Lepisosteus oculatus: one gene and its partner. The protein of the gene in region 1 interacts with the protein of each later gene in a biochemical or structural test. Links are inferred from orthologs where the notes say so. Each region holds a gene or a part of one and is shown in the gene's direction. Other genes may lie near its edges. The genes, in order: lats1 and mink1.

The links.
Region 2: of the proteins of lats1 (region 1) and mink1, one has a biochemical effect on the other in vitro, tested with the Homo sapiens proteins (2 studies listed by BioGRID). The link is inferred for Lepisosteus oculatus from reciprocal best matches to the Homo sapiens genes LATS1 and MINK1.

Annotation. Positions count from the first base shown.
Region 1 is NC_090697.1:4,925,026-4,940,319, forward strand, and holds the start of lats1 (serine/threonine-protein kinase LATS1), read left to right. Parts: upstream 1-7,683; 5' UTR 7,684-8,773; intron 8,774-10,129; 5' UTR 10,130-10,280; coding exon 10,281-10,640; intron 10,641-12,990; coding exon 12,991-13,141; intron 13,142-13,677; coding exon 13,678-15,215; intron 15,216-15,294. Other genes in the region: nucleoporin Nup43, read left to right, coding at 1,620-1,739, 2,696-2,818, 3,738-3,815, 4,720-4,882, 5,091-5,226, 5,451-5,602, 5,773-5,889, 6,927-7,156. UniProt on the Homo sapiens protein: Negative regulator of YAP1 in the Hippo signaling pathway that plays a pivotal role in organ size control and tumor suppression by restricting proliferation and promoting apoptosis.
Region 2 is NC_090698.1:10,002,412-10,017,705, forward strand, and holds the start of mink1 (misshapen-like kinase 1), read left to right. Parts: upstream 1-7,169; 5' UTR 7,170-8,353; coding exon 8,354-8,410; intron 8,411-15,294. UniProt on the Homo sapiens protein: Serine/threonine kinase which acts as a negative regulator of Ras-related Rap2-mediated signal transduction to control neuronal structure and AMPA receptor trafficking.

The DNA of each region.
Region 1 (15,294 bases):
GTATAAGTGGATACGAAGACTGTATATCACACTACATGAACTTCATCAGTTCTATCCTAATTAAATGCAAAGATAACAAAGGTACATTTTTTCACTGCATGTGGGAATGTCTGGTAGTTCAGGGTTTTTGGAAGAAGTATTGCATAGATTTTCTAGAGAATAATCGGGGTAACATCTAGAGAGTAAAGGCTTTAATTAGAGGAACTGCTTTATGAAAGGTATCACATTTAAGCCCTGTATATAACATGTATTTATGTTAAAAAACAAACACCTGGGTGACTTGTGTTTTGAATCACTGCCATTGTATGAGTTATTGGAACTGTCTGGATGTTTTATCACATTCTTCCTTTTTCTTTTCTGTTGTTTGGACATAGTTCATATTTTCTCATTTCATATTAAATATGGAAAAAACAATAAAGATATTGTTTTAAAAAAAGACCACTGATTTCTCATAGTAGGGCATACTTTTAGGCTACTGTTTCCAAGTTGTAGAGAATTTACTAAATGAGATTCATCTTCCCTGGGGTTTATTCACATCATCTCAGGTTTTATCATATTTAAATGGAGGACATTTCAGCCGGAAGTTCACTCACGCAGTTTGACATAATTGAAACATTGCATTATGGATTACACAAGATGTAAAGCTAAATTTCATCAGTGTAAAAATTAAAGCTGACACCAATAAGACTGCCTGATGGGGATAAATAGACTAAAACAAATAAGTGCTAGGGCAGAGCCTTGGGAGACACTTGAAGAGAATGGGGCAATTTTGATTAAAATTATTATCTGCAACAAATTGTCCCAGGTTTGACAAACAGACCAAGGCCGTCTCTGTACCGTATGTACCGGCTGGTTAAAAACAGAGGTCAAATGAGATTGTAACTGAATGGCGACTAGTTTCTTTATGATTTTGAATATTGTTGAGCATTTGAATACTACAATAAGTTTCCAACCAAACACTTAAGAACGCTTAAGATTAAGTCAAATGAACGATATCATTTCAGTAATAAGCTGCATGAACCTGATGAACATGGGATCTAGTGTTCATTTTAGTACGATACTAGATTGCGTCTATAGAAAGAGTTGGACCAACTCAGTTGGGTTCGTTGGAAGCGAGGACATTTTATTATGGAGCCGTGAGCTATTTTCAGCAACTGAAATTCGTTGCAACTGGTATTGACCTTGGTGGGTACTAATGGGGACACTATAGTGTAAAAATAGAAGACGGAATCTTCCTCGATAAGTACAGTCTTCAGTTTAGTTGCCATTGACCACCTGTTAAGCTTGTTGAAAATGTACGGAGACATACCATTACTGGTGTAAATAGTATATGTGATCAATTAAAGATGCCATTAACAGATGACATGAAACACAATATAGGAAATATAATAACAGAGCATATTTTCAATCTCATTCAACTACGATTTTGTAGATATTTTTCATGTTTCTGCAACCGTATTTAACCATGTGAACGACACTTGTCTTCGCCGAGGATCCGTACTCACGTGACCGTCTTGTGAGCCGGAAGAGGAGGAACTGACGGGATCCGGGGAGCCGCAAGAACAGTTCAAATTTAAATGATATTTTAATGTGAGCTACAACAATAAAATAGCATTTTAATGGAGTACATAAATGCCAAATTTGTGTCTCAGAAGATCAGTAAGACACGATGGAGACCGGTGTCTTCTGCATCCCTCCAAAAGCCAGATATATTCGCTACAGGGTCTTGGGATAACGAGGTAATTTATAGAGCTGTAATAAGCATGAAAGAAATGAATGGATGTCCTTTCGAAAGCAGTTTTGTTTTCGTAAAAATTATAAGTCTTTAACTCAAGACACGCCAGATTAAGACCAAGCGATAAAGCCGGTGTTATGTTACATTTCACGTTTTACTAGGTGGAAGTCGATCCTGTATCCCCAGCAGATTTGAGCACACTACTGTCGTTGCTTCCAACTCTTTCTCAGTTTTTTGTCTCTCGTTACATTGAAAACATTGAATATGTCTGACTTGATTTGGTTCTGTACTTCATTTTGTAATTGTAAGGCAACGTGGCTCCGTACGGGACAAGCCAATAGGCTCTACTGTTCAGCTTTACAGAGAAGTGAATGAAGCCGTCACAGCGGCAGTTATTAAAAATTCCTCACACTTACAGTATAGAGCGCTTTTCTGGACACTCCACTCAAAGCGCTTTACAATAAGTAGGATCCCCTCCACCCCCACCAGTGTGCAGCCACACCTGGATGATGTGAAGGTAGTACACTCCCCACACAGCCGCTCTCAGTGGGGAGAGCTAAGTAATGAAGTAATGGAGATTATTAGGAGACCGTGGAAAGCCCTGAGATTTTTAAGTTTTAATAACCACGGAGAATCAGGACCTCGGTTTTATGTCTCATCCGAAGGATGTCATTTTTTCTTTACACTATAGTGTCCCCGTTACTATACTGGGGTATCAGGACTACACAGACCGCAGGCTGAGCGCCCCCTGCTGGCTCTACGTATACCTCTTCCAGTAGCGGCCTTAGCTTTCGCAGGAGTCTCCCCACAGGTACTGGCCAGCCTCACGCAGCTGAGCTCCAGTGGGCTGCCAGCTGTGAGCTGCAGGCAGTTGTCATGGTCGAGGGGTGTTTTTACATGCGGGATTACCTGATAGAAAGGAATATCTTCTTGAATGCCACTTTTGCATCATTGTGCCAGGACAATAAAGTTTCCATATGGTCTGTGGGGGAGCTTAGCGTCACCAGCATGGAGGATGAGTTTGAAGGAGACCCCCAGCTACTGTGTGACTACCGACATGGCGGTGATGTCATGGACCTTCAGGTACACTTGTTCTTCATTCGTTTTTCTATCTGGAAATATGTTGTACATTGTTTTTTTACTACGATTGATCATTGGTCATTTTGAAAATTTCTAAAAAGGGGCAGTAACTCTATTTTCCTCTTTCATATTCTCTCAAGTGAGGTGAATAATGGAACTGTGGTATCTTAGCAGACAGTTTAGAATTTTCCACAGAAGGAGGTTTCAGAAAAAAACATGGAAGGGCAGTACTAGGGCCAAAAGACATTTTGTGGGAACTAGTATGAAACATCATTCATATTATGTATGATATCAGACACTTTGTGTTTATTCCTGCTTATGTTTGGCTGAAAATTCTAAAGTTGTATTCTCTTTTAGATTATGTCGTATTGATTGTATAACATGTCTAAAAGTAAACATTTTTGTGTGGATACAGAATTTGCCTCTCCCCAGGCAATGGGTACAGTACAATGGGTCTTGAGCATCAGAAGAAAATTCCTAGTTAACAGGCCATAAGTGACATTCCACCTTTCTTTGAGTACATTTGAAGTAGTAATATCAGGCACAACGTAAAATGTTCATACATTACTGTGTGATGCCGCGATCGCTCAATATCAAACAGCGTCACTGTTCCTCAACCTCGGACACATTTCACAATTCTTCCAGAAATGCTTTGTAGGAATGATGTTTTATTCCTGTGAATGTAATAAATCCTTTATTAATGTTGCTTTATCCTTTATTCTTCTTTCGATGTGTTACTGGAGGATTATGTAGGTCAGCCTTCAAAGCAATATACTTTTCTCTCATTCTCTGACCTATAAATGTTAGTTGTGAATTAAACCTTGGTATAGACTTAGCTTGGTTTACTCTTTTTTTATTCGTGTTTATGACCATTTTACATGCCCTGTAAGGCACATTTATTTTCTTGTGATGTTTCTTTTAGTTTCTGGACCATGAGAGAATTGTTACAGCTTCATCAACTGGAGCAGTTACCATCTTCCGACACCATCACAACAGCCAGGTAGATCTGTCTTTCCAATGCTTTCTTTCAGAGTTTAGACCTCATTCTGTTTTGTTCTTTCAGTTCAAAACTTTTTTTTTTTGGTTTTGCTGTCTTTCAGACTGTGTTTCTGTTTTACTACTTTTGTTCTCTTCTTTGAGATTCTCTGGAAATGTGCATATTCCAAAGAACATAATATTGAGTTTGATTGTAGTAAAGACGTTATTTCAGAATGTTAGAATAGGATCATGTTAAAGTTAATCTGACTCTGAGTTCTTCTGTGTTGCTTATCTTAGATCACCCTGGAGGGATGAAATTAACTTAGCTTTGGTTTTGAATTATATCTTTTACTCTCTGCTTCAGAAAAGCATGTTTGTGCATGTTACTGGCACTCCAAAATATAAATTTTTAATTCAATATTTTCATCATAACTAAGTTCCTCCGAGGTACAGTAGCTCGCCTTATCTCATGTTAACTCCCCGAATCTACTACATCGCTCTTCCCATCTCTTCACTTTGACTCTCTGAAATGATTCTCAAAATATAAAATGTAGATGTTCCCAATATGGGTCCTGACCTGCTGCTTGTATAACAGACCTGGACAGAAATGGCCTGTTGGCCTCAGACAAGCATGAGTCTTTGGAGTAAGATAGAATTACAGCAACTGAAAGGAGTTTCAGTTGTTTCCTGGAGGAAAAGAGTCTCTCTGAACTATCTCTGTTTATCTCTTTTTGTGTGATCTTTCCACAACAGGACTTTGGCAGTAAACATTCCATAAAAGTCAAGTTAAATCATAATGACAAACTACCTCAAAAAACAGGCAAACCTCCTCTGAAGCTGTTATGTTTGGATGATGGTGATGTTTTGTTTTGTTTTTAAATCAGGGATTACAAGTCAATCCTTTTTTCCAAAATGTTTTCCTGTAGACCCTCTCTGTGGCTCAGCAGTGGAGTCAGGCACACTCCTACTCCTGCGGCAGTGCCCCTTGTACAGGTGTGGTTTGCAACAGCCCAGAAATTGTCTCGGTTGGAGAGGATGGCCGGATAATTCTCTTCCGAGCGGACCATAAAGGAGTCATACGTACCATAGGTGTGTACAAATTCAAAGCTCACAGTTGTCTTGAAAACAGGTTTAATACATTTTTGATTTATTTATAAAAACGTGCATGCTTAGACATTCAAAGGTATTCAGTCTGCCATGCATTCATGTATACTGGTATTTGTGGTTGAAGAAGGAGCTGCTATTTAAACTGTTCAGTTCACCCACATTAACAGCGTATTTTCCTTCCTTTTCACAGACAATGCCGATAGCAGCACAATCCACGCTGTAACTTTCTTAAAGACAACAGAGGTCCTGACAGTCAATTCTTTTGGCCAGTTGAAATTATGGGACTTCAGGCAGCAGAGAAATGAACCATCACAGATTCTATCCTTGTGAGTTCACTGGTTGTTAAAAATACTCTCAATTAAAGTTTTGAAGAGAGCCTACGGCAGCTCACCATTTTTTAGAAATCTACAAAATATTGTTAACCCCATATTTAATTTTTGTGAACATATTCAGATTTGAGCTATAATAGGCAGGCTTGGAATGCACATTATGGAAAAAATGGAATGCATAACTACGTTCTGTTAATCTCAGCTGTTTTTCCACCTTACAGAACTGGAGAGAGAGTGCCCCTACACTGTGTAGACAGACACCCCAACCAGCAGCACATAGTGGCCACTGGGAGTCAGGATGGCGTGCTGTGCATCTGGGATGTCAGACAGGGAAGCATGCCATTTGCGCTGATGGAAGCACATTCTGCTGAAAGTTAGTAATGGCTTTACTTTGTATCAGCCCGTCTGTTTTTTAGCGAACCGCCAGATACTTTTAATACCTTTCCACTAGATGACGGACATGCTGTGCAGACGTTATGGTTGTTGTATTCGGTGAGTGCCGTAAAGGTAGGGAGAAACTAACGCTGCTCTTTTGCGTCCCAGTGTGGGAGGTCCACTTTCACCCCTCTAACCCGGACCACCTGTTCACGTGCTCTGAGGATGGCTCTCTGTGGCACTGGGAGAACTCCACAGGCACCGACACCCCCTCCTTCCTGCAAGGTAAGGGTCCCCGTTTGAAAAGGAGAGGGAGAGGCGCACACGTCTGTAACCGGGTTTTGACCGAATAGAGCCTCGTTTTTGTTAGGACGGAGCAGAAGGCTCAGACTCAACCCCTTCTTCATGGCGAGGAGCTCTTGTCATGTCATGTTCGGGTCTAAAAGTAATGCGTGCGCTACATGGTTTATAAAGGCCTCAAGTATAAAAGTTACTGGATAAATCTGAACAAGGAGTATCATTAAGAGGTACAAACGCACAAAATATTCACCACTTTTTTTTAATAAAAATTGCCTTAGAAGCATACAAGGGACAGTACAGCATTGCAGATGTATCATTCTGTCATAGAAGTATCATTTCCTGTACATCTGTACATCTATGACAGAAGTCACAAAGCATTGATTCCTGAAGCAGGAAGTTAATATCGGATTATATACTATTCTTTTCAGCCCATTCTTGACATTTATTTTCACCTTGGGTTCTCTGGAATGTGAAGGATAGGCAAAGCGCGACCAGTGCATTTCGATATCGAGATAAGAGAAGATAAAGATGACAAAGCTGACGTGCAGTATTCTTATACAAACAACCTCTTCTAGTAAAGTCACGTACATAACCAGTGCAGAAGACAAACTAAAAGACGTGATTCACTTCTTAGTTCTTTGTTTAGTTGTCCGAATTAAGAACTTAATAGCTTTGGAGCTTAAATAACATACTAGGAATAAGGAGTCACGGGGGTTAAATGATTTTGAAGTGAAATATCTTCAGTTTCAGAATATAATGCACTGCAGGACCTTTTCCTGAACAGGTGGTTTCTAACTCTGCGTGGGGTGGATCCTTGTCTCTCCTGGCTGTTGTTCCAAGTGAGATTTCAATTCCAAACAGCCTTGGTATTTATTTATTTAACTGAACAAAAGAAATGTAGATTAACACATTTCCACTGTTAACACTGCAGTTAGAATGTTAGGGAAGGTAAGGTAGAGCAAAAACCAGACGCTGGAATATTAATTTCAATAATAAAGGATTCATTTTTGTTTTCCGAAAAGGTGGGAGGAACACTACCATCACGTCACGCAGCACAGTTGCCCCTCACAGCATCAACCAGTCCTTGATTAGCTCCTGGCTGAGCAGTGACTCTTCCAAAGGCCGTCTGGAGACGACAAACATGCTTCCTGGCGAGACAATGTCTGTGAACAGTCTGGACGTGCTGGGGCAGCACCTGGTCTGTGGAACTGATGGAGAAGCTATTTATGTCAGCAGACATGTGCCAGTATAACAGAAGGCAGGCTTTGTTCTGTATTGGGGCCCTCAATAGCACACACTTCACTATTGCATCTGGTACTGGATGATTCCACACAGCTGTCTTGATAGTTAAACAACTGACTAGTCACTCGGGAACCACTTATAGAGAACATGCTTCTCAAGGCATCTTAAACAGTACTGGTCCTTTTCGGGCCGTAGGGATTTACAATTTCATCCTGTGCTCATCTCGCTAATATAAAGCAGCTGACAATTTAGTAAGCATGTCGAGGCCTACTGGAGTGTGCTGTTGAGGGCTGGAAGTGAGGAGCACTGTTCTGTTTAATCCCTGTCCTGTTTGGAAGCCAGGAAAAATAGTTCAGTAATGAAAACTGCAAAGCGAATAATTCTTTTTGTATCACTATTTTTTTTTAAATAAACAATCTTTGCAAAAAGCTCTTTGCATACAATGTTGATGTGGAAATGTATTTTTGTTAATAACCTTACATTATTTGCTTTTAAAGCTCGTTTTTAGAGTAGCCGGTCAAATGATTTACAGGATGGGACTGATATGTATGTGCTCTATAATGGCAATGAGGTAAAAGTAATGTTGTTTTTTGTATTTATCTGTTTTCCACTATACACGTTTGTTTAAATGTTGTTGCAACATTCACAAAATTCCTGTTTAATATTCATGATTTTGAACAGCCACTGTTTAACCGGCTCTAGAAACGTATTTGTAAATTAGTTCAATGCTGGTATTATCCGTTGACCCACAACATATGATAACAGGGCACTGTACAGGGTAAAGTTTTAACTTCACACAGGGGAGTAAAAAGATTTGAAGCCAATTTTATTATTTTTCCGCTGTCTTTTTTCTTGAATTCCAAGTGCTGTAGTTTCGACGGCCGTCTCCAAATAGATAGTTCGGTTGTCTATCTGGCGAATACAAGTAAGAATATCGGTATAAAGTTGATTTGAATGAACTTCTCAAAAAAATGCAAGCAGGGCCGGTGTTTTCAATGACAGTCTACGGCAAAATCGTGTGGATGCTGGTAACCGCATTTGCTCCAGCTTAGAAGCGCCTTGCTTGTGATTCACTCTTCATCATCTGTCATAACTGATGTCTGCAGTTTGCAGCCCTGTCTTCATCCCACGACACCCCAGTGCGGTAACTGAGCTGAGCACCGGCGGATGCTCTTCCTATCTCAATGGTAGAGACCGGCTGCCCAATCCAAGCCAATGACAGGACAAGCCGCAGGGTTCGCCCCAGCATGCGTGACGAAGATAACGAACTCAAAAACGGACGCGTAATTTTACGGACGGCGAAGTGCCTCGGGTCTCGGAGGCTCCGACGCTTGTGGCGGTCAGGAATGAGCCGGTGAAACGCCAGCACTGGGAGCAAGAGCGGCTGTGGGGTTGCGGAGCTTGCTGGGAAATGGGAAAACCCTGCACATCCGGGCTCTCGGGGTGACAGACGGCTGGGCTCTCCGAGCGACTCGGGGACGGGAAAAGCAGGAAAACCTTCGGGCGCCGATCCTCCGCAGCGGAGCGGGGCCAGCAGACACCGGCAGCCGGCGATCCTCCGCGGTCGGGCCCGCTTTGCCGCTCGGAGCCGCGTCCGGCGATGAGCTAGAAGCCCGGGGGCCAGTCGGTGAGTCCTTTGTGAGGCGTCCCTGTCGGTTCCCACCAGGCCCCGGCGGCGGCTGTAATCCGAGTCCGGACTCTGCGTTTGCGGGGATGGGGGGTGGACGAGGTCGGGGCGGTTGTCGCCTCATGTCCGGGCTACAAAGAGACGGGGGCCACAGGCCATGTGAGGCTTTCGCTCCCGGTGTTGGGACAACCTGGCCTTTTTTTTTGTTAATCCCCCACATATGAGGCGTTGTCTCTTTATTTATGGCCACACCTTAGCCAGGCCCGGAGAGGCCTGGACGAGATGGGGGAAGCCTGGGATTGTTCTGGGAGCGAGTGCCGAGGGCTGGGGCGAAGCGACGGGGAAGGGTAGCTTCGTGTGCCCCTGGTGCTGGCGGCTACTTTCTGCGGTGACAATGTGGAAATTGTCACCTGCGCTGATAAGGACACCCAGGGGCAGGCAGCGAATAAGGGATAGGGGCCGGTAGGTGCCTTTTCCACTTCACAGGGCGCTCTGTTTGGGGTTGGTGCGGTTTGCTCTGCGGTGGCATGAAATGACTGTCTAACGCCAGGCTGCGATGCCCGTGTCGTGGCCGAGCAACGCCGAAAAGATGTTGATGTGGGTCCGACAGGTTTTTGGGTCTGGCTCCGAGTGACTTCAGCTATACTGTGTGCAAGGTGTTTTAGGAAAATAGGCTTCTATACACGTCAAGGGGGTTGTTTTGTGTATCGTTTCGATATGAGAAATTTAGAAAGTATTTATGAATTGAAAGGGTACATTGTAAAAAATATCGAGGTTGGTGCCCGCCAGATTTATTGTAGGCGCTGACATATCGTAGACACAAGCGTTTTGTCGGCGAATAAACACTCGTACATCTCTTCACCTTATTTGTTCCACAGGTGAGATAAACGTTTCTCTTCTCTCGTTGGCACTTTTATGTGGTGAAGTGCTTCTGATTTTTCTTTTATTTTTTGTTTTGTTTATGTTTCGTTTATTTCAATGATCCCATCTAGAGAAGGTAGAAAAGTGTTTTCCCCCCACAGATGCCTACCCAGCCACACTATAGAAGCTAATACCCCGACTTCTATTATCAAGCACCTGGTCCTAGATCAGATGACCTGATCAAATAGCTACTTACAACCAGGTGGTGACCTCAGATTCCTCTGTTCCTGACAGAAGGTTTTCCTGGGAGAAGAATGTAATTTCCCGTCATGAAGTTAAGGAAGTTAACGTTTAAGAAGTTCTTTCGTGGATCCTGTGCAGGTTTATTCTTGCTTTTAAAACAGGTGATGATTTTGGAGAGGTGTAGCACAGCTCTGTCCTTGACGGGTCGGCCTCATTACGGTCATTGAATTGGGCTGGACTGTTCTGTTGCAGATGTGCCTTCTTCCGCGGAGCCCTGGAACAGCAGGCGTGTCGAGGAGAAGGAGCCCCGTGCAGCCCTCCGCTCTTGCCCGCTAGCGACGCCCCCTGCTGGCGAGAGTGTGGTGCCCCACTTCGCCTTGATTGCCCACGTACATGTTCTTTCATGAAGAGAGGGGAGAAGCCCGAAGGATACCGACAGATGCGGCCCAAAACCTTCCCAGCGAGTAACTATGGGGGCAGCAGCCATCAGATGCTGCAGGAGATCCGAGAGAGCCTTCGGCACCTCTCCAGGCCCTCGGACGCCCCCAAAATGGAGTCCGGTGCTGCTGGGAAGGGGCCGGTCGAAGACCCCAGGCAGCAGGGGAGAAACAGCAACCCCAAGTTCAACACGTACCACAAGGCTCTGCAGGAGATCCGCAAGTCCCTGATGCCCTTCGCCAACGAGTCCGGCTCCTCGGGCAGGGGCACCTGCGAGGTCAACAAGCAGATGCTAATGGAGTTACAGAACGCCGGGTTCGAGGAGGTAAGCCTGTGTTCCGAGCAGGGTGCTTTTTACAGCGTTTTCTAAATCAGAGGCGATTTATTCTGGTTAGCAGTTTTGGGTTAATCATGGCCTGTGGAAGCCCTGGACTTGGGGGGGGAAGAAATTGTTCGGTTAATAATGAAACCCCCCCGCCCTTTCACAACAGCACACAGAGTATCTGCATGCGGAACAGGAGAAGGCACACATAATTACACTTGATTACATTAGAACAACAACAGAGAGATTACTGAAACACCAGGGGATAACAGTTCACCAATAATGTTCATTTTTTTCTCATCTTTGTTAATAGTATTTCTGTGGTGCTTGTCACTTCTTTCTGTTTTTTGGTTGAGTACAGTTAGATGGAAATTGATTGATGTGCACTGGAGAGTTAGAAGCTCTGAACTGTAGGACGGGATGTGTTCTGCTGATGTTCACCTTTTTTACCGGGCCTTTTTAAGTAGAGTGGGTCGTATTCATGCTTTGAAGCCATTTGCTTTGTGCCCTGTTTCCACTTGCTGCGATTGTGTTGAGCTATTGGAACGATGGTATGTGGAAATACTTGATCTACTATTGTTTCCATCTTCAGGGTGTAATTTTGTCCTCTCCAGAATGTTCAAAGCAGACGTCACTGGGAGTTATTTCATTCTTACTGAATAACATCATAACACACATTTCTAAATGTATTTAGAATATGTACACTGATGATGATTAATGTAGATGGGACAGAAAGTCATATTGCACATTCCAGTTCAAAATATGTTCAGCAATTTTCTCCTTGAATACTGGAAGTCATTAATCATTATCACTTTAATTTAAACTTGTTGTGAGGATCTATGCTTCAGAGATCTAATTTCTAAATATTCAGAACTTGCGTATGGAATTGTAAAAAACATCCATTAGTTTTAGCATTTTAATGTATTGTACTGTGTGTGACTACAAAATTCCAATTGCCTTGTAGTGAGGCAATTATTTTGTACAACAGCCTATTTCAGCTTAATAGCTACACAAGACATTCAGTGCACAAAGTTTAGGAAATACGATGATAACAGGTGCCAGGGCTATTTAGTGGCTGTTTATGGCCCAGAGGTGAGGCCAGAGGATCCCAGTAAAACAATATGAAAAGTACCCAGAATGAAAAATGGCAGAGGAACGGCAGTAATGTAATTGAAAGAGAGCTCTGTGCCAGCAGCATACTGTACGTTTATCTACCTGTGAAATCATGTGGCCCTCTGTCATGCAGATGGTTAATACTGTCCAGAACCTGACACAGGTATAGAAAATTCAGCAAACTAGAGTGAAGCTGGTAACGTGGCACACGTGTGCATCGGGGAGCTCTTTTATACTGCTCTGGACTGGCTGGGCTTGCTTGCTGTAAGAAGTGCTGTTCAATATCTGAGGGTGAGCACCTACTCAGACAAGGCAAGATCTTGCCATCTCATTTTCACCTTGGCACTTTTTATTCTTCCAGAGTGTTTACCTACACTAAAACAATTAACTAGGGAGTCATACTGAGCCTTGTTCAGACCTGAAAGCAACATGAAAATAAAACACAGCAGCAGTGCAAAGCATTATTTGGATGTCTGACAGAAAACGGGTTGTTGTTGTTATCTGTCATTTAGGACTGATTACTGATTCCATTTCATGATATTGCAAAACTTTTTTTTTTACACGATTTAGCATGGCTAACATCTCTTAAAAGCCCACCTGATTTCAAACTGCCAGTTGTCTTTATTCCACCTCGGCTCCAGCGCGCAGGCAGACTCCTTGTCTGTGTAGAGCTGTGCTGGATTTTGTGTGGACTGAAGCCCTACAGCTCTATGGTGCCTGTAGCCCTGGGAGCTGTTGATTTATCCCAGCCCTGCCCAGTGACTGTCAGCTAGTGACCTGGGCTCAAGCCACCTCATACCATTCAAACCAGTTGGGACCCTCAAGGAAACATTTTCTATGAAGACAAATTTTGGATGTTGGGTTTAGGGTTTAATCCCACAGCTTTAATGTCCTGAGTTTGATTCTGGCTTCAGGCGTCTGTACGGAGTTTGCATGTTTTCCCCTCATTTGCATGGGTCTTAACTGAGTGCTGCAGTTTCGCCTACCTCCCAGTTCAGGACGTCCTGCTTGGGTTTCATTGGCTTTCGCCAGCTGCCCTGTGATGGCGCAGTGTCCTGTAGGGAGAGAGCAGCAGTATGTCCTTCGTCAGGATAAACAGCTTGACGTTAAGGTGGGGGGTGTTACTTTCGTTCTGCTCATGTTGTTTTTATCAAGTATTTACGCAGACTGTTTTGGACGGAGAAGATGTGGTAGCAGAACCTCTCGCGTCTCTTGTGATACTTGGCGTTCTGCCCTGCAGGAGATGGTCATCCGCGCTCTGAAGCAAACTAACAGCCGGAGCGTGGAGGCGGCCATCGAGTACATCAGCAAGATGAGCTACCAGGACCCGTGGAGGGAGCAGATGGTGGCCGCTGCTGCGCGGCCCATCAATTCGGGCGTGAAAGCTCCGGGTGGGTATCTGTGCTCTGGGTCCAGCGCCGTGTTCATGCCTCGCGTTGCTGCCTTTTATCTTGCACCCCCATGAGAAAAATCAGCACTGTCTTATCGAAGCCCAAGGAACAGCTCAGTTTGTCCTACTCTTCGCTGCGTGAGCTTTTACTAGTGTTTCCACACACCTGATTACCGCTGCAGAATGCTGTTTCAGATAGACAGGTGCAGGAGTATAGTTTGTCTTCCATCCTTCTGTTTTCACTCTGATGTTCCTGGTGAGGGTCACCGTATTCGGCTAATCTTTGTGAAAATCCAGGAATTTCTCCTCATTTATGTTTGATAACAAAGGATGCTATTTGGGTTTGAGTGTGCTGAAAATCTGCTTTAGGTTTATGTACAATGTGAAGCGTATGTTTTCTCTTTACTGCTGTTTAAGAACCATGCTATCTTTTCTTTTTACGTGTGCTGTGAAAAGCACTCACTAGGCATTCCCCTTCTTTGTTGGTCCTGGACCTTGACCCCGCGCGTCACTGTGTTTGATGTTTATCCCTCGCAGGTTCGGGTCACATCCAGCAGCCTGTGCTCCGCAAGCAAAGCTGGAAGGGTTCCAAGGAGTCCCTGGTTCCTCAGAGGCACGGGCCCCCTCTGGTGGAGGGGGTGATGTACCGCTCCGACAGCCCCGGGCCCCCAGCGGAGCTGGGAGGGCGCCCCCCGTCGGGCTCGGGGCTCGCGGCCTTCTCCCAGGGACACCCGGGCAACGGGCAGCGGGTCAACCCCCCCCCTCCTCCACAGGTGCGCAGCGTCACCCCTCCACCCCCTCCGACCAGGGGCACCACCCCGCCCCCGCCTTCCTGGGAGGGCAACCCCTCCACCAAGCGCTTCTCGGCCAACATGGAGTACCTGGTGCACCGGATCTCCCCGGTCCCCCAGGGGGCCTGGCCCGACGGGTACCCCACGCCACCCCCGCAGAGCCAGAGAGGGATCAGTCCCGTGCCAGTGGGCCGCCAGCCCATCATCATGCAGAGCTCGGCCGCGAACAAATTCAGTTTTCCTTCTAGCTGGGCGCAGAACGGCTCGGGGCAGCCTGACTACGTGGGACACCAGAACGTGGGCAGCGGCCGACAGCCTCCCCCTCCTTACCCCGTGAGCCAGGGCAGCAGACAGAGCCCCACGGCTTTACAAATGCAGGGCGGTGGGCCCGCGTCCTCCCCCTCGTACGTGAACGGCGGCAACATCCCCGCGTCCATGATGGTGCCCAGCCGGAACAGTCACAACCTGGACCTTTACAGCCACGGCATCCCCGGCTCCTGGCCCCAGCCGCCCCCTCCCTCCGGCCAGCCCCAGTCTCCCCCGGGCGGGAACGGCCACGAGGTCCCCCCGCCCTGGCAGCACAACATCCCCGTCCGCTCCAACTCCTTCAACAGCCACCAGCTGAGCGGCCGGCAGGGCTCCCAGCCGTCCGCCACCACGGTGAAGGCCATCACCCAGGCGCCCATCCTGCAGCCCGTTAAGAGCATGCGGGTGCAGAAGCCCGAGCTGCAGACCGCCGTCGCCCCCACCCACCCGCCTTGGATGCAGCAGCCGCCGCCCCCCAGCCCGTTCCAGGACGGGCCCCAGCCTCTGGGTCCCGGGGCCGCGGTGGCCGCCGAGGTGCCCAGCTACCAGGGCCCCCCGCCGCCCTACCCGAAGCACCTCCTCCAGCCGCCCGCCGCGCCGTCCCCCTCCTACGAGTTACCGGCCATGGCGGGCTGCGGCAAGGAGGAGCAGGGGCCCGGGCCCGGCCGGAAGGAGCAGCAGCAGGAGGAGGAGGCGGCGGCGGCGGTGGGGGCCGGCGGGGGCGGCTCCGGGGACCGGGCGGAGTCCGCGGAGGCGGGGGGCAGCGGCGCGGCGGCCGACCGGGAGAAGAAGCAGATCACCACGTCCCCCGTGCCCGTGCGCCGCATCAAGAAGGACGAGGAGCGCCGAGAGTCGCGCATCCAGAGCTACTCCCCCCAGGCCTTCAAGTTCTTCATGGAGCAGCACGTGGAGAACATCCTGAAGAACCACCAGCAGAGGATCCGGCGCAAGAAGCAGCTGGAGAGCGAGATGCAGCGGGTGAGCGCCGTCTTGATCGCGTCCTCTCGGGCAGCCCCCCCCGCCGGCGTGGCCCCAAGACGCTCCCCTGCGTCACTTA
Region 2 (15,294 bases), on another chromosome or scaffold:
GAGTGTTCCCCTTCCCCTGGTGGCGTGACACTGCAGCAATATTCTCCACTTCCTGGGCCATTCCGATCTCCTGTCCTAGTCCGCCCTCTCCCGCTTCCTGGACAGTACCAGAGAATTCATCAAGTTAGTGTGCTATCCCAAACACCTGTGACAGCTCTGATACCTGGGACGGTCTGTGACACCATTGATGGGCTATGACACCTGTGAAGAGTTGTGACACCTGGAACAGGTTGTAACACCTGGAACACCTGTGACGGGCTGTGACACCTGTGACTCTTGTGACGGGTTTTGACGGTTGTGACACTGGGAACAGGTTGTAACACCAGTGACACCTGTGACTCCTGTGATGGGCTGTGACACCTGGAACATGTTGTAACACCTGGAGCACCTGTGACGGGCTGTGACACCTGTGACTCCTGTGATGGGTTGTAACATCAGTGACACCTGTGACGGGTTGTGACACCTGGGACAGGTTGTAACACCTGTGATGGGTTTTGACGGCTGTTACACTGGGAACAGGTTGTGACACCAGTGACTCCTGTGACGGGTTGTGACTCCTGTAACTGGCTGTAACACCCGTGACTCCTGTAACTGGCTGTAACACCCGTGACTCCTGTGACAGGTTGTAACACCTGGGACACCTGTGGCAGCTGATGGGCTGTGACAACTTGGTCAGGTTGTGACACCGGGAACAGGTTGTAACACCAGTGACACCTATAACGGGTTGTGACACCTGGGACACCTGTGGCAGCTGATGGGCTGTGACAACTGGGTCAGGTTGTGACACCGGGAACAGGTTGTAACACCAGTGACACCTATAACGGGCTGTGACACCTGGGACACCTGTGATGGGTTGTGACACTTGTGCACGGAGGATCTATGAACTGGGCCCCAGTATAAATGAAGAGGAACATGTTTCGCTGGACCAGACTGGGAGCTCATCATGGGCACTTGGAACAAGTGCCCGGTGCCTGGCGCTCGAGTCGCGCTCACAGAAACAGCGCCGAACTCACGGGGACAGTTGATTTGATTCAGCCCTCCTCCTCGGCGCATACAGGTGCACGAGGGAGTTTAGGCAGAACACGTCCACAGATTTTTCTGACTGTCTTCACATCCTCAGGGAGTAGGACATGTCCGTGTCTGATTCGCTGGCCCGGCCTGGGACAGTGGAAGCATAAACCCGAGAGAGCTGCATCAGCAGGGGAGCGGGCGGGCCTGTGCCCGCTGGTGGACACTGGCGATCTTGGCGCCCTCTGCTGGCTGATAGTGATGTTAGCACTCTGCTGCTGGCACTGGTGATGTTCCTGGGGGCTCCTGAGTGCACAGTTTTCAGGATGCGATACTCTCGAACAGGGCAGCCCACTTTAGAAAGGGGACACAATTAAAACAGACCTTTTATAAACAAATAACAAGGCTTTTGTGCATCGAAAATGATAGGAATCGAAGTTCTTTGGCGGAGTTCACCGCTGCCCCTGTGTCTATCAGTCATCACCGTTTCCAGTCGGCTGACATGTTCCCAGCCAGCTGGGTTGATTCTCCATGGCGTGTTGGACTGTAGCAGCTGTAACGGAGCCGCAGTCGTGCTTTTCTCTTAATGACGAATACAAGCTTTGTGCAGATTCCCAACGCTGGCAAGTGTAACATTTGCCCGGGGTGGAAAAAAACATTCATGCTGGCTATTAGATCTGGTTTGGGGCTGGTGGGGGGATTGTGCTTTTTCAAAACAAGCTTCCCTGAAACTAGAACAACAAAGCTGGGACACACCACCAAGCACAGAGTGCACCACACACTAACCACCAAGCACAGAGTGCACCACACACTAACACAGCAGCTGTCTTGGCACAAGGCGCCCCACTGTTCCTGACCTGGGCGTGATCACTTCCAGTGGCTACTGGTGCTCCAATCAAGGTGTTCCTATGGGTTTGCGGTAGAATTCCTTTCTTAAGCCGCTGACGCGATGTTTGTGGTATCTGTTTTTGGCAAGGAATGAATGGAAGAGAAAACATCTTTGAAACCTTCGCAGAGAAAACTTGCTGGAATGTAGGGATTCTCGATAAGTAGCTAGAAAAGACTGGGGAATTATTCCCAAGGAACATCCCAGCCCTTGAAAATGCTGCAAATATCAAGGCAGAAGAAATCTTGCAGTAGTTTGCTGTTCTGTAATATTGTAAAACATTGAACAGTAAAGTGCAATAAAATCCTAGTGAAATCAGGGTAAAAGTATAGTAAGGTCCAGTCAGATCTGTAAAGACACTCAGCCCAGCTCACCTGTACTTTTTTATTGACACTCCATCATGAACTTACTGTCAAACCCCCTTGTACGGTACTGCACTGTGCTTTGCTGTACTGTGGGACACAGATCAGTGCTCTACTGCGCTGTGCTGTACTGTACTGTGGGATACAGATCAGTTCTCTGCTGTACTGTACTGTGGGATACAGATCTGTGCACTACTGCACTGCACTGTGCTATACTATACTGTGGGATATAGATCAGTGCTCTACTGCACTGATCTGTACTGTACTATGGGATACAGATCTGTGATCTACTACACTGTGCTGTACTGTGGGATACAGATCTGTGCTCTACTGCACTGTCCTGTACTGTGGGATACAGATCTGTGCTCTACTGCACTGTGCTGTACTGTGGGATACAGATCTGTGCTCTACTGCACTGCACTGTGGGATACAGATCAGTGCTCTACTGCACTGTGCTGTACTCTACTGTGGGATACAGATCAGTGCTCTACTGCACTGTGCTGTACTCTACTGTGGGATACAGATCTGTGATCTACTGCACTGTGCTGTACTGTACTGTGGGATACAGATCTGTGAGCTGCTGTACTGTACTGTGGGATACAGATCAGTGCTCTACTGCACTGTGCTGTACTGTGGGATACAGATCAGTGCTCTACTGCACTGTGCTGTACTGTGGGATACAGATCTGTGCTCTACTGCACTGCACTGTAGGATACAGATCTATGCACTACTGCACTGTGCTGTACTCTACTGTGGGATACAGATCAGTGCTCTACTGCACTGTGCTTTGCTGTACTGTGGGATACAGATCTGTGATCTACTGCACTGTGCTGTACTGTACTATGGGATACACAACAGTCTTCTACTGCATTGTGTTGTACTGTGGGATTGATCTGTGCTCTGCTGCACTGTGCTGTACTGTACCGTGGGATACAGATCAGTGCTCTGCTGCACTGTGCTGTACTGTACCGTGGGATACAGATCAGTGCTCTGCTGCACTGTGCTGTGCTGTACTGTGGGGTACAGATCAGTGCTCTACTGCACTGCACTGCGCTGTGCTGTACTGTGGGATACAGATCTGTGCTCTACTGCACTGTGCTGTACTGTACTGTGGGATACAGATCTGTGCTCTACTGCATTGTGTTGTACTGTACTGTGGGATACAGATCTGTGCTCTACTGTACTGTGGGATACAGATCTGTGCTCTACTGCACTGTGCTTTGCTGTACTGTGGGATACAGATCAGTGCTCTACTGCACTGTGCTGTACTGTACTGTGGGATACAGATCTGTGCTCTACTGCACTGTACTGTACTGTGGGGTACAGATCTGTGCTCTACTGCACTGTGCTTTGCTGTACTGTGGGATACAGATCTGTGCTCTACTGTGCTGTACTGTACTGTGGGGTACAGATCTGTGCTCTACTGCACTGTGCTGTACTGTACTGTGGGGTACAGATCTGTGCTCTACTGCACTGCGCTGTGCTGTACTGTGGGATACAGATCTGTGCTCTACTGCACTGTGCTGTACTGTACTGTGGGATACAGATCTGTGCTCTACTGCATTGTGTTGTACTGTACTGTGGGATACAGATCTGTGCTCTACTGCACTGTGCTTTGCTGTACTGTGGGATACAGATCAGTGCTCTACTACACTGTGCTTTGCTGTACTGTGGGATACAGATCTGTGCTTTGCTGTACTGTTGGATACAGATCTGTGCTCTACTGCACTGTGCTGTACTGTACTGTGGGATACAGATCTGTGCTCTACTGCACTGTGCTGTACTGTACTGTGGGATACAGATCTGTGCTCTACTGCACTGTGCTGTACTGTACTGTGGGATACAGATCTGTGCTCTACTGCACTGTGCTTTGCTGTACTGGGAGAGCTGTGCTGTAACAGGCAGTCTTATCTGGCAGAGAGGGAGGCAGTTAAGAGAAGTGTTTGAGAGAGAAGAGAGGAACAGAGCGTACTGTTACTGTGCAGTCTGTGGGCGGCTTGTTTCTCTCTCTGCGTACAGTACCTCTCTCTAACTCTTCCTCGCTCTCGCTCGGTCAGGCAGTGAGAACCGTGCCACCAGTATGCACGGAGCTGTTGTTATGGAGACAGTTAGCAGGAGACGGATCAGGATTTTGCGAAGGGGGAGAGGAGGACAGGAGTGAGAGGAAGGAGGAAAGGGGGTGGCGAAGTGTTATAATTATAATCACTCATCGTCGCTGCAGCTTTTGCAGCCGTTGTCCTGGCAACCGCTGATTTTATTTTAAAAAAATGCTGATATTGGGGAAGAAATGTATACACACATAAAAAGAATTGGAACAAATGTAGGTTGTAAACTTGAGGACAAAAAAGGGCATCAGAAGATGGAAAGTGACAGGGAGGCAGTGTGGGCTAGTGTTCAGAGCTGAGGCACTGGGAGAGAGGGAGGCAGTGTGGGCTAGTGTTCAGAGCTGAGGCAGTGAGAGAGAGGGAGGCAGTGTGAGCTAGTGATCAGAGCTGAGGCACTGGGAGAGAGAGGCAGTGTGGGCTAGTGTTCAGAGCTGAGGCAGTGTGGGCTAGTGTTCAGAGCTGAGGCAGTGAGAGAGAGGCAGTGTGCGCTAGTGTTCAGAGCTCAGGCAGTGAGAGAGGCAGTGTGGGCTAGTGTTCAGAGCTGAGGCACTGGGAGAGAGAGGCAGTGTGGGCTAGTGTTCAGAGCTGAGGCAGTGTGGGCTAGTGTTCAGAGCTGAGGCAGTGAGAGAGAGGCAGTGTGCGCTAGTGTTCAGAGCTCAGGCAGTGAGAGAGGCAGTGTGGGCTAGTGTTCAGAGCTGAGGCACTGGGAGAGAGAGAGGCAGTGTGGGCTAGTGTTCAGAGCTGAGGCAGTGAGAGAGAGGCAGTGTGCGCTAGTGTTCAGAGCTCAGGCAGTGAGAGAGGCAGTGTGGGCTAGTGTTCAGAGCTCAGGCAGTGAGAGAGGCAGTGTGGGCTAGTGTTCAGAGCTGAGGCACTGGGAGAGAGAGAGGCAGTGTGGGCTAGTGTTCAGAGCTCAGGCAGTGTGGGCTAGTGTTCAGAGCTGAGGCAGTGAGAGAGAGGCAGTGTGCGCTAGTGTTCAGAGCTCAGGCAGTGAGAGAGGCAGTGTGGGCTAGTGTTCAGAGCTGAGGCACTGGGAGAGAGAGAGGCAGTGTGGGCTAGTGTTCAGAGCTGAGGCAGTGAGAGAGAGGCAGTGTGCGCTTGTGTTCAGAGCTCAGGCAGTGAGAGAGGCAGTGTGGGCTAGTGTTCAGAGCTGAGGCACTGGGAGAGAGAGAGGCAGTGTGGGCTAGTGTTCAGAGCTCAGGCAGTGGGAGAGGGAGGCAGTGTAGAATCTGGAATTCAATTAAACTTCTAATGAGGTGTGGTTTGTAGAGGTCTTAACTGGTGATTTTTAATGCAAGCTTTAAATTACTGCACTACAATGTAATACTGCACATCAAACTTTTCTGGTCTTTAAGAACTTTTTATTATTGTATTAAAACCCTAACATTTTTATATTCTAGAAACCTGAAAAGGTGAATTTTAATAAAGTCACTAATTTTCTTGCAAATGTGTGTGTTTGGTTTAAAAGCTCCTCTGAAGAATGAATTGTGCTTGTTGTAACCGTGAGCAAGATGCTTCAGTGAAATGTTGAGCTGTATAAATGAGATGAAATATAGCAGAATAGAAACAATAGCTTCTCTTACCTCTTGCTACAGGTGAGTGGACAATACAGGTTGAGAGCAAAAGAGGTGCACAGTACAGCCAGCTGGCTGGTTCACTGGCATGGCCTGGCCACACCTGCTTATACTGATGAGAGGGAGAGGCGCACCTTTTCACCTTTCAGTGCATTTTGTTGTCTGTTACCATTGTCTAATCGGGTACAAAGGGTCACTTCTGCCACTCCCTGGTGCCCAGATATCTCTAGGTTTCGTCTGAGGTTATCACTAAACCTCCACACCTCCTGACTCCGAGGGCTGAGTCAAGCCTGACGGCCTTTCAGCAACTGGCACATCAGAGAGCCGAACAGATGGTCGGCAACACGAGCTTCCTGCTTCACGCAGGGCGTCGCAGACACCTCAGGCTTCCTTGCGAGCGGAGCCCATCCGTCTCCGGCGTGGGAATTCTGGGAGTGTTCATGTCCTGCAGGCCCCTGAAACACCTGAGCTGGCCTGTTTTTCCAGCTCCTGTGGGAGGGAGGGGGGAGAGTCTCTCTCTTCCCCTGTGCTGCCGGTGGCCGGTCGTTCCGCTGCATTCCGGAGGCCCTGTACCTTGCCCTTCTTCGGTTTAGCTTTCAGCAAAACTTTATTGAGTACTTCAAAGGGATAAGAAGCAGGGAGAAATGTGAAAATCTCACATGAACCACCCTCCAGTCCTGTCCCATTTTCCCAACCCCTAAATTCCTAAATGAAATTCTCCCCCTCCCTGAATTCCGAGAGTCCCCATTCCCAGCCATAGTAAACATAAGGTCCCAAACGAGAGGTGCTCATTTGGTCCCTGTTACTCATGGTTGCTGGAGAAATCCCAGGAAATCCGCTTCAAGAGCAGCCTTGTCTGTTCCAGACACCCACCACTCTTGGTGTCTTTGCTTCTTTTTAGTTTCCCGCTCAATGCTGTCCAGTCGTGGTTGATTTAGTCAGTAACTTTCTGAACTTGGCCCAAGACCCCTAGACCTTCCTGTGGAACACTAAAGAGATTCAGTTCCTTTCACTTGTCCGGGCGAGGAAATTTCATCCGAGCCCAGAAATGTACACGGTGCCTCATCTTTGGGCTGATGTCCAAATAGCATTGGGCCGTGGCTATATTCCATATGACTATGAATTTGATATTGGAGACGCGTCCACCTCTAGCAACAAATTACCATCGCGGAGGGGGAGATGGGGAAGTCGCCCGCACCGGACCTCGCTGTAACGCGGCGCGGTGTGTCCCTGGTGAGGTGCCGTAGTTCGCCTACCCAGGAAGAGCTGGGCACGGAGCGACAGACAGCTCTATGGAGAGAGTGTGTGTGTATTCGTGACTGCAAGAGAGAGGCACGGACCAGACGAGGAAAACAACACTGGAGTAACAGCAGGCGAAGCAGAAGGACAAGAGCGGACGAAGAGGGCCGGGGCTTGTTGGCGGTCGCAGGAGCAGGACTGTGGATTTGCGGCGATTGGGGGGGATTTTATTTTCGAGACACGAATTGTTTTTTTTTTTTCTTCTTCTTCCTTGTCAGCTTCAAGTCGCCTTCTGCTGGAGAGAGAGAGCAGAGCGGGGCGGAGAGAGACTGCGGTGGCCGACGATCCGGGCTGTTAGCGCAGGACGAGAGAGACGGGCAGAAAGTTGGAGGTTAAAGCTGAACCAGCTATTTAGAAAAAATAGTTCTGGAATTGTTTTGGTGTAAAAAAGGACTTTTAAAAACACGCGTCGTCTCTCATTCAGTGTAGGGCGAAACTTGGCTTTCGTGAATTAGCTACGGCGAGCTGCCTCTTCTCAACCTCTCCCCACCCTCGGAAAAAAGGGATCTGAATTTTCTAAAACTTGGAATTTTCTGGTAATCGCCCGTCTTGCTGACCCGTTCGCCCGCGACTCGTATCGATTATATAAGAGAAGGCGGGGAGTAGGGGCGAGAGCCGTCAACCGACAGGCGTTTTGGCGTTTTTAAATGCTAATCTGCCTGCTCGCTGGTCCGGGGTGCCCGCCGAGGACGAGGGCAGGCTTGCCAACATGAACGCTCACCCCCAGCCGTCCGCAATCTCGACTCCCTCCCTCCCTGCCGCCGAGCAGCGCGACGAGACGAGAGACGGCTCGATTATTTCGGTGTTTTGGTGAGAGCACCCCCCTCCCCGGAGCCCCACAACAACACTGTCAAGTTTGTGCTGAACCGACACAACCCCAGTGCTTTTTAACTGCGCACCCAGCGAGGCGGAGGTGCGCAGCTCCGGGTACTGTACGGGATTTTACCCTGTAAATGTCCGTTCTGGCGTTCACCTAGCGAGGACCAGCCCCATACGCAGCAGCCTTGCAGGTGTCCTCTCCCACGGCCGGCATTATCGCACAGCAATAAAATCCACGCTGGATAAGGCGGCATAGGATTTTTTTTACCCCTTCATTTTTAACTTCATTTTGTTGTGACAAAAATGTCTGAAAACGCGCCTACCAGAAGCTTAGACGACATCGACCTCGCCGCCTTACGGGTGAGTAAAAATACGGATAATTATTGCTGGTCCCCCCGTTTAAATTTCCCCGTCTTTGCCTGTCAGTCTCTCGTGTATATGTGTGTGTGTTCGGGGGTTTAATCGGCTCAGAAGTGGAATTTAATATGCTCAAAGGGCGACTCAGTAGCTGCTGTTTTTCTACAACTTCGATGTGGGTGTTCTGCGTTTATGCATATATTTCTCAGCCTCCCAGACTGACACCAGTTCTGCACATGACGCATCTGTGTACATGATCCGTAACAAGCAGCTAGAAACGTTGCTCACCAGGGTTATTGGGTTAAACAGCACCGGCTAGTCGCTGCAGACAGTTTAAATCTGGTTTATATTAATCACATTACAGGGGATTGGGGGTCCTGGACTGTTACTGACACAGCCGGGGTCGTGGCGGGGGATTACTGAAGTACCGGGTGGATTGTAAATCAGACCGTGTTTTTCCGTGATTTATATCTATGTCCTTATTTTCCCAAAACGTAAATCGATGGTGGAGGCGGCGGTTGTGATGAAAGACGCGAATTCAAACGACAAATGGCAGAAACACGTAGAGACCCGGGGAAACGGGCCCTGTTTGAGGGTGGCTGGGGGGGGCTGGTGTAACTGTTACCGTTACAGTGTGGACAATTCAGATTCCGTCTCCCGGGGTCGGCGCCTGTGGGCTGACCCCCTCCCGTGTTGGACCGCACGGTCTGTGTTCTTGCTGTTTTTTGTATTTCTGAATTGAGTAATTGTCAGAGTAAGAAGTGGTCCTAGCTCTGGACCTGGACACTCACACACACCTGAGAGTGAGACTCCGCCTACAGCAGGGGACACACTCACTCACACACACCTGAGAGTGAGACTCCGCCTACAGCGGGGGACACACTCACTCACACACACCTGAGAGTGAGACTCCGCCTACAGCGGGGGACACACTCACTCACACACACCTGAGAGTGAGACTCCGCCTACAGCGGGGGACACACTCACTCACACACACCTGAGAGTGAGACTCCGCCTACAGCGGGGGACACACTCACTCACACACACCTGAGAGTGAGACTCCGCCTACAGCGGGGGACACACTCACTCACACACACCTGAGAGTGAGACTCCGCCTACAGCGGGGGACACACTCACTCACACACACCTGAGAGTGAGACTCCGCCTACAGCGGGGGACACACTCACTCACACACACCTGAGAGTGAGACTCCGCCTACAGCGGGGGACACACTCACTCACACACACCTGAGAGTGAGACTCCGCCTACAGCGGGGGACACACTCACTCACACACACCTGAGAGTGAGACTCCGCCTACAGCGGGGGACACACACACTCACACACACCTGAGAGTGAGACTCCACCTACAGCAGGGGACACACACACACACACCTGAGAGTGAGACTCTGCCTACAGCAGGGGACACACACACACTCACACACACCTGAGAGTGAGACTCCACCTACAGCAGGGGACACACACACACACACCTGAGAGACTCCGCCTACAGCAGGGGACACACACACACCTAAGAGTGAGACTCCGCCTACAGCGGGGGACACACTCACTCACACACACCTGAGAGTGAGACTCCGCCTACAGCGGGGGACACACTCACTCACACACACCTGAGAGTGAGACTCCGCCTACAGCGGGACACACGCACACATGCACACCTGAGAGTGAGACTCCACCTACAGCAGGACACACACACACACACACACACACCTGAGAGTGAGACTCCACCTACAGCAGGACACACACACACACACACACACCTGAGAGTGAGACTCTGCCTACAGCAGGACACACACACACTCACACACACCTGAGAGTGAGACTCTGCCTACAGCAGGACACACACACACTCACACACACCTGAGAGTGAGACTCTGCCTACAGCAGGACACACACACACTCACACACACCTGAGAGTGAGACTCTGCCTACAGCAGGACACACACACACTCACACACACCTGAGAGTGAGACTCTGCCTACAGCAGGACACACACACACTCACACACACCTGAGAGTGAGACTCCGCCTCCAGCAGGACACACACACACTCACACACACCTGAGAGTGAGACTCCGCCTACAGCAGGACACACACACACACACACACACCTGAGAGTGAGACTCTGCCTACAGCAGGACACACACACACACACCTACCTGAGAGTGAGACTCCACCTCCAGCAGGAGACACACACACACACACCTGAAAGTGAGACTCCGCCTACAGCAGGGGATACACACACACACCTGAGAGTGAGACTCCGCCTACAGCAGGACACACACACACACACACTCACACCTGAGAGTGAGACTCCACCTCCAGCAGGAGACACACACACACACTCACACCTGAGAGTGAGACTCCACCTCCAGCAGGGGGCACACACACACTCACACACACCTGAGAGTGAGACTCCACCTCCAGCAGGGGGCACACACACACTCACACACACCTGAGAGTGAGACTCCACCTCCAGCAGGGGGCACACACACACACACCTGAGAGTGCGACTCCACCTACAGCAGGAATTCAGCTTTAGAGGAGAGAGGAGCACTAGTATCTCCATTCCGAGTTCCATTCCAGCAGCTTTTCAGGTCAGTTAAGGGTTGAGATCCGTGAGGATCTTGACTCGGGACCAGGTTTTATCAGATGCAGCAACAACAGTACAACCTGTTGATGATGTGGACATACTTAAGAAATGATTAACCTGCACGTCTACTGATGCTTCTAGTTCTACCCAAGAGCCTCCTGCAGTGCATAGAACCTTGCTGTCTCTAACTGTGGTGCGATGGGATTGTGATTGAGAACATTAAATCCTGGACTGGATCAGACTGCTGTACAGTGGGAGTGTGATTCAGATCACTACAGGACCTGGAGTGGATCAGACTGCTGTACAGTGGGAGTGTGATTCAGATCACTACAGGACCTGGAGTGGATCAGACTGCTGTACAGTGGGAGTGTGATTGAGAACACTACAGGACCTGGAGTGGATCAGACTGCTGTACAGTGGGAGTGTGATTCAGATCACTACAGGACCTGGAGTGGATCAGACTGCTGTACAGTGGGAGTGTGATTGAGAACACTACAGGACCTGGAGTGGATCAGACTGCTGTACAGTGGGAGTGTGATTGAGAACACTACAGGACCTAGAGTGGATCAGACTGCTGTACAGTGGGAGTGTGATTCAGATCACTACAGGACCTGGAGTGGATCAGACTTCTGTACAGTGGGAGTGTGATTGAGAACACTACAGGACCTGGAGTGGATCAGACTGCTGGTCAGTGGGAGTGTGATTCAGATCACTACAGGACCTGGAGTGGATCAGACTGCTGTACAGTGGGAGTGTGATTGAGAACACTACAGGACCTGGAGTGGATCAGACTGCTGTACAGTGGGAGTGTGATTCAGATCACTACAGGACCTGGAGTGGATCAGACTGCTGTACAGTGGGAGTGTGATTGAGAACACTACAGGACCTAGAGTGGATCAGACTGCTGTACAGTGGGAGTGTGATTCAGATCACTACAGGACCTGGAGTGGATCAGACTTCTGTACAGTGGGAGTGTGATTGAGAACACTACAGGACCTGGAGTGGATCAGACTGCTGGTCAGTGGGAGTGTGATTCAGATCACTACAGGACCTGGAGTGGATCAGACTGCTGGTCAGTGGGAGTGTGATTGAGAACACTACAGGACCTGGAGTGGATCAGACTGCTGGTCAGTGGGAGTGTGATTGAGAACACTGCAGGACCTGGAGTGGATCAGACTGCTGTGCAGTGGGAGTGTGATTGAGAACACTACAGGACCTAGAGTGGATCAGACTGCTGTGCAGTGGGAGTGTGATTGAGATCACTACAGGACCTGGAGTGGATCAGACTGCTGGTCAGTGGGAGTGTGATTGAGAACACTACAGGACCTGGAGTGGATCAGACTGCTGGTCAGTGGGAGTGTGATTGAGAACACTGCAGGACCTAGAGTGGATCAGACTGCTGGTCAGTGGGAGTGTGATTGAGAACACTACAGGACCTGGAGTGGATCAGACTGCTGGTCAGTGGGAGTGTGATTGAGAACACTACAGGACCTAGAGTGGATCAGACTGCTGTACAGTGGGAGTGTGATTGAGAACACTACAGGACCTGGAGTGGATCAGACTGCTGTACAGTGGGAGTGTGATTGAGAACACTGCAGGACCTAGAGTGGATCAGACTTCTGTACAGTGGGAGTGTGATTGAGAACACTACAGGACCTGGAGTGGATCAGACTGCTGTACAGTGGGAGTGTGATTCAGATCACTACAGGACCTAGAGTGGATCAGACTGCTGTACAGTGGGAGTGTGATTGTTAACATTGTGCCACCTGGAGTGGGAGTGAGATCTGTTTCACTGTTAGATTGTGACTTCTTACTGAACGTATTAGGAAACATGCGAAAGATTCTATAGGTGAGCACTGCTATTCATATCGCTCCTGCTGTTATAAATAGCTGGAATAAGTAATTAACTCATCAGAAATGTTGACCCCACTTTTAAAGGATTGGTAATAAGTCTAAATTGCTAAATTTGCCCTTGTGCCCAGACGGTCTTTGTGAATGTTTGTAATTAGTCATTAGTACGTTAGTCATTGTTAATACACACCCTGGGAGATTACAGTGCCTATGGTGGTGGTTTTAATAAAGAATTTGAATATGGAGACAGTTATTTATTATAAATAATTATTAAGCGACAGCAGGGAAACCAGTCAAATTCCCATTGCACAGCGGTCTGATCCCTTTCAGGTTTTACCAGCTGCTGAAGGAACTTTTACAACCTCCACTGATGAAGCTGAAATAACACTGTTTTATGTTTAAGTTATCGGTCCATCCCTACTTTATTGAAGAGAAGCAGCGATACAGGTTGAAATGAGCACCAGTCCACAGCACACAGGTCTGAAAGGGGTTGACCAAGACACTACATGATAATTGGACAATGATCCATCCTCTTCACTGGTAAAGGCTTGGTGTGAACGATGGGACTTCAGGTCTCTAATGGACACTCTAATGGAGGTTGGATGGACACACAAGACAGCAGGTGTCGATGGACACAGACCATATGGATGGAGAGATGGACACAAGACAGCACATGTGCATGAACAGAGAGGACAGATGGACACAAGACAGCACATGTGCATGAACAGAGAGGACAGATGGACACAAGACAGCACATGTGCATGAACAGAGAGGACAGATGGACACAAGACAGCACATGTGCATGAACAGAGAGGACAGATGGACACAAGACAGCACATGTGCATGAACAGAGAGGACAGATGGACACAAGACAGCACATGTGCATGAACAGAGAGGACAGATGGACACAAGACAGCACATGTGCATGAACAGAGAGGACAGATGGACACAAGACAGCACATGTGCATGAACAGAGAGGACAGATGGACACAAGACAGCACATGTGCATGAACAGAGAGGACAGATGGACACAAGACAGCACATGTGCATGAACAGAGAGGACAGATGGACACTTGACAGCGGACGTGGATGGACAGAGAGGACAGATGGACACAAGACAGCAGATATGGATGGCCAGAAAGGACAGATGGACACAGACCACTTGGATGAAGAGATGGACACAAGATAGCACACGTGGATAGGCAGAGAGAACAGATGGACACACAAGACAACTCACATGGATGGAGAAAGGAGACAGATGGACACATTTGGAGGGACAAATAGTCCCCCAGTGCTGAATTGTTTGTGCCTCTGATACATTTGGATAGACAGAGAGGACAGCTGGATGGACAGATGGACACAGACCCCTTGAAGTGACAAACAGACAGCTTAGTTGAATGGGAAAAGTGGACACTTGGATGGACAAACAGATGGACAGAGTGGACACTTGGACAGAGAGAATGCTCAGATGGACAGATGAGCTCATTCCTGGTGCTCTTGATCCTCCGGACAGTGCCTGTCTTAATAGCTCTGCCAGCTTCCTCTGGGGTTGATGGGTGTTTCAGGGACTTTGGATTACAGTTGGGAGGATTGAACATTTCACACCGGTTTCTTTATCTGCCTCCTCCAGTAGTAAAAGTTGCTTTAAGACTCAGACTTATGAGTTCAGCTCCTGCAGAACTGCTCTTCTTCCATCTGACATGCCTGGCTGTCAGGGCTGTTGCCCATGTGAAGCACTACAAGCTGCACAGTGCCTGACAGGAGTCTCTCGCTGACATCGCTCCAGCCCGTATGCACCGTGGTGCGTCCCAGGAGCCTCTGCTGCTCCGAAGGCTTAAAAACGCCTGGCCAGTTTGAGCCCAGGCTTTGCCACAAATCAACCAGAGTCCCAGGGCAACTTTGTGATAGAGAGCTCCACCTTTGCAACAGAAGGAAGATTACAAACTAGTGGAGGCCATTCAGCCACTCCTACCCGCTCAGTACTGAGCTGCTAGCAAACATCTGTGAATCACAGACCCACTGCACAGCAGGCTGATCCAGTCCAGGTTTAAGGGCTCTCAATCACATTCCCACTGCACAGCAGGCTGATCCACTCCAGGTTTTACAGGGCTCTCAATCAAAGTCCCACTGCACAGCAGGCTGATCCACTGCATGTTTTACAGGGCTCTCTATAACACAGTCCCACCGCACAGCAGGCTGATCTACTCCAGGTTTTACAGGGCTCTCAATCACATTCCCACTGCACAGCAGGCTGATCCACTCCAGGTTTTACAGGGCTCTCAATCACATTCCCACTGCACAGCTGGCTGATCCACTTCAGGTTTTACAGGGCTCTCAATCACATTCCCACTGCACAGCAGGCTGATCTGTTCCAGGGTTTGGGAGCTACTAGAGGTTTCTACCAGTGCAAACAGCAATGGTATTC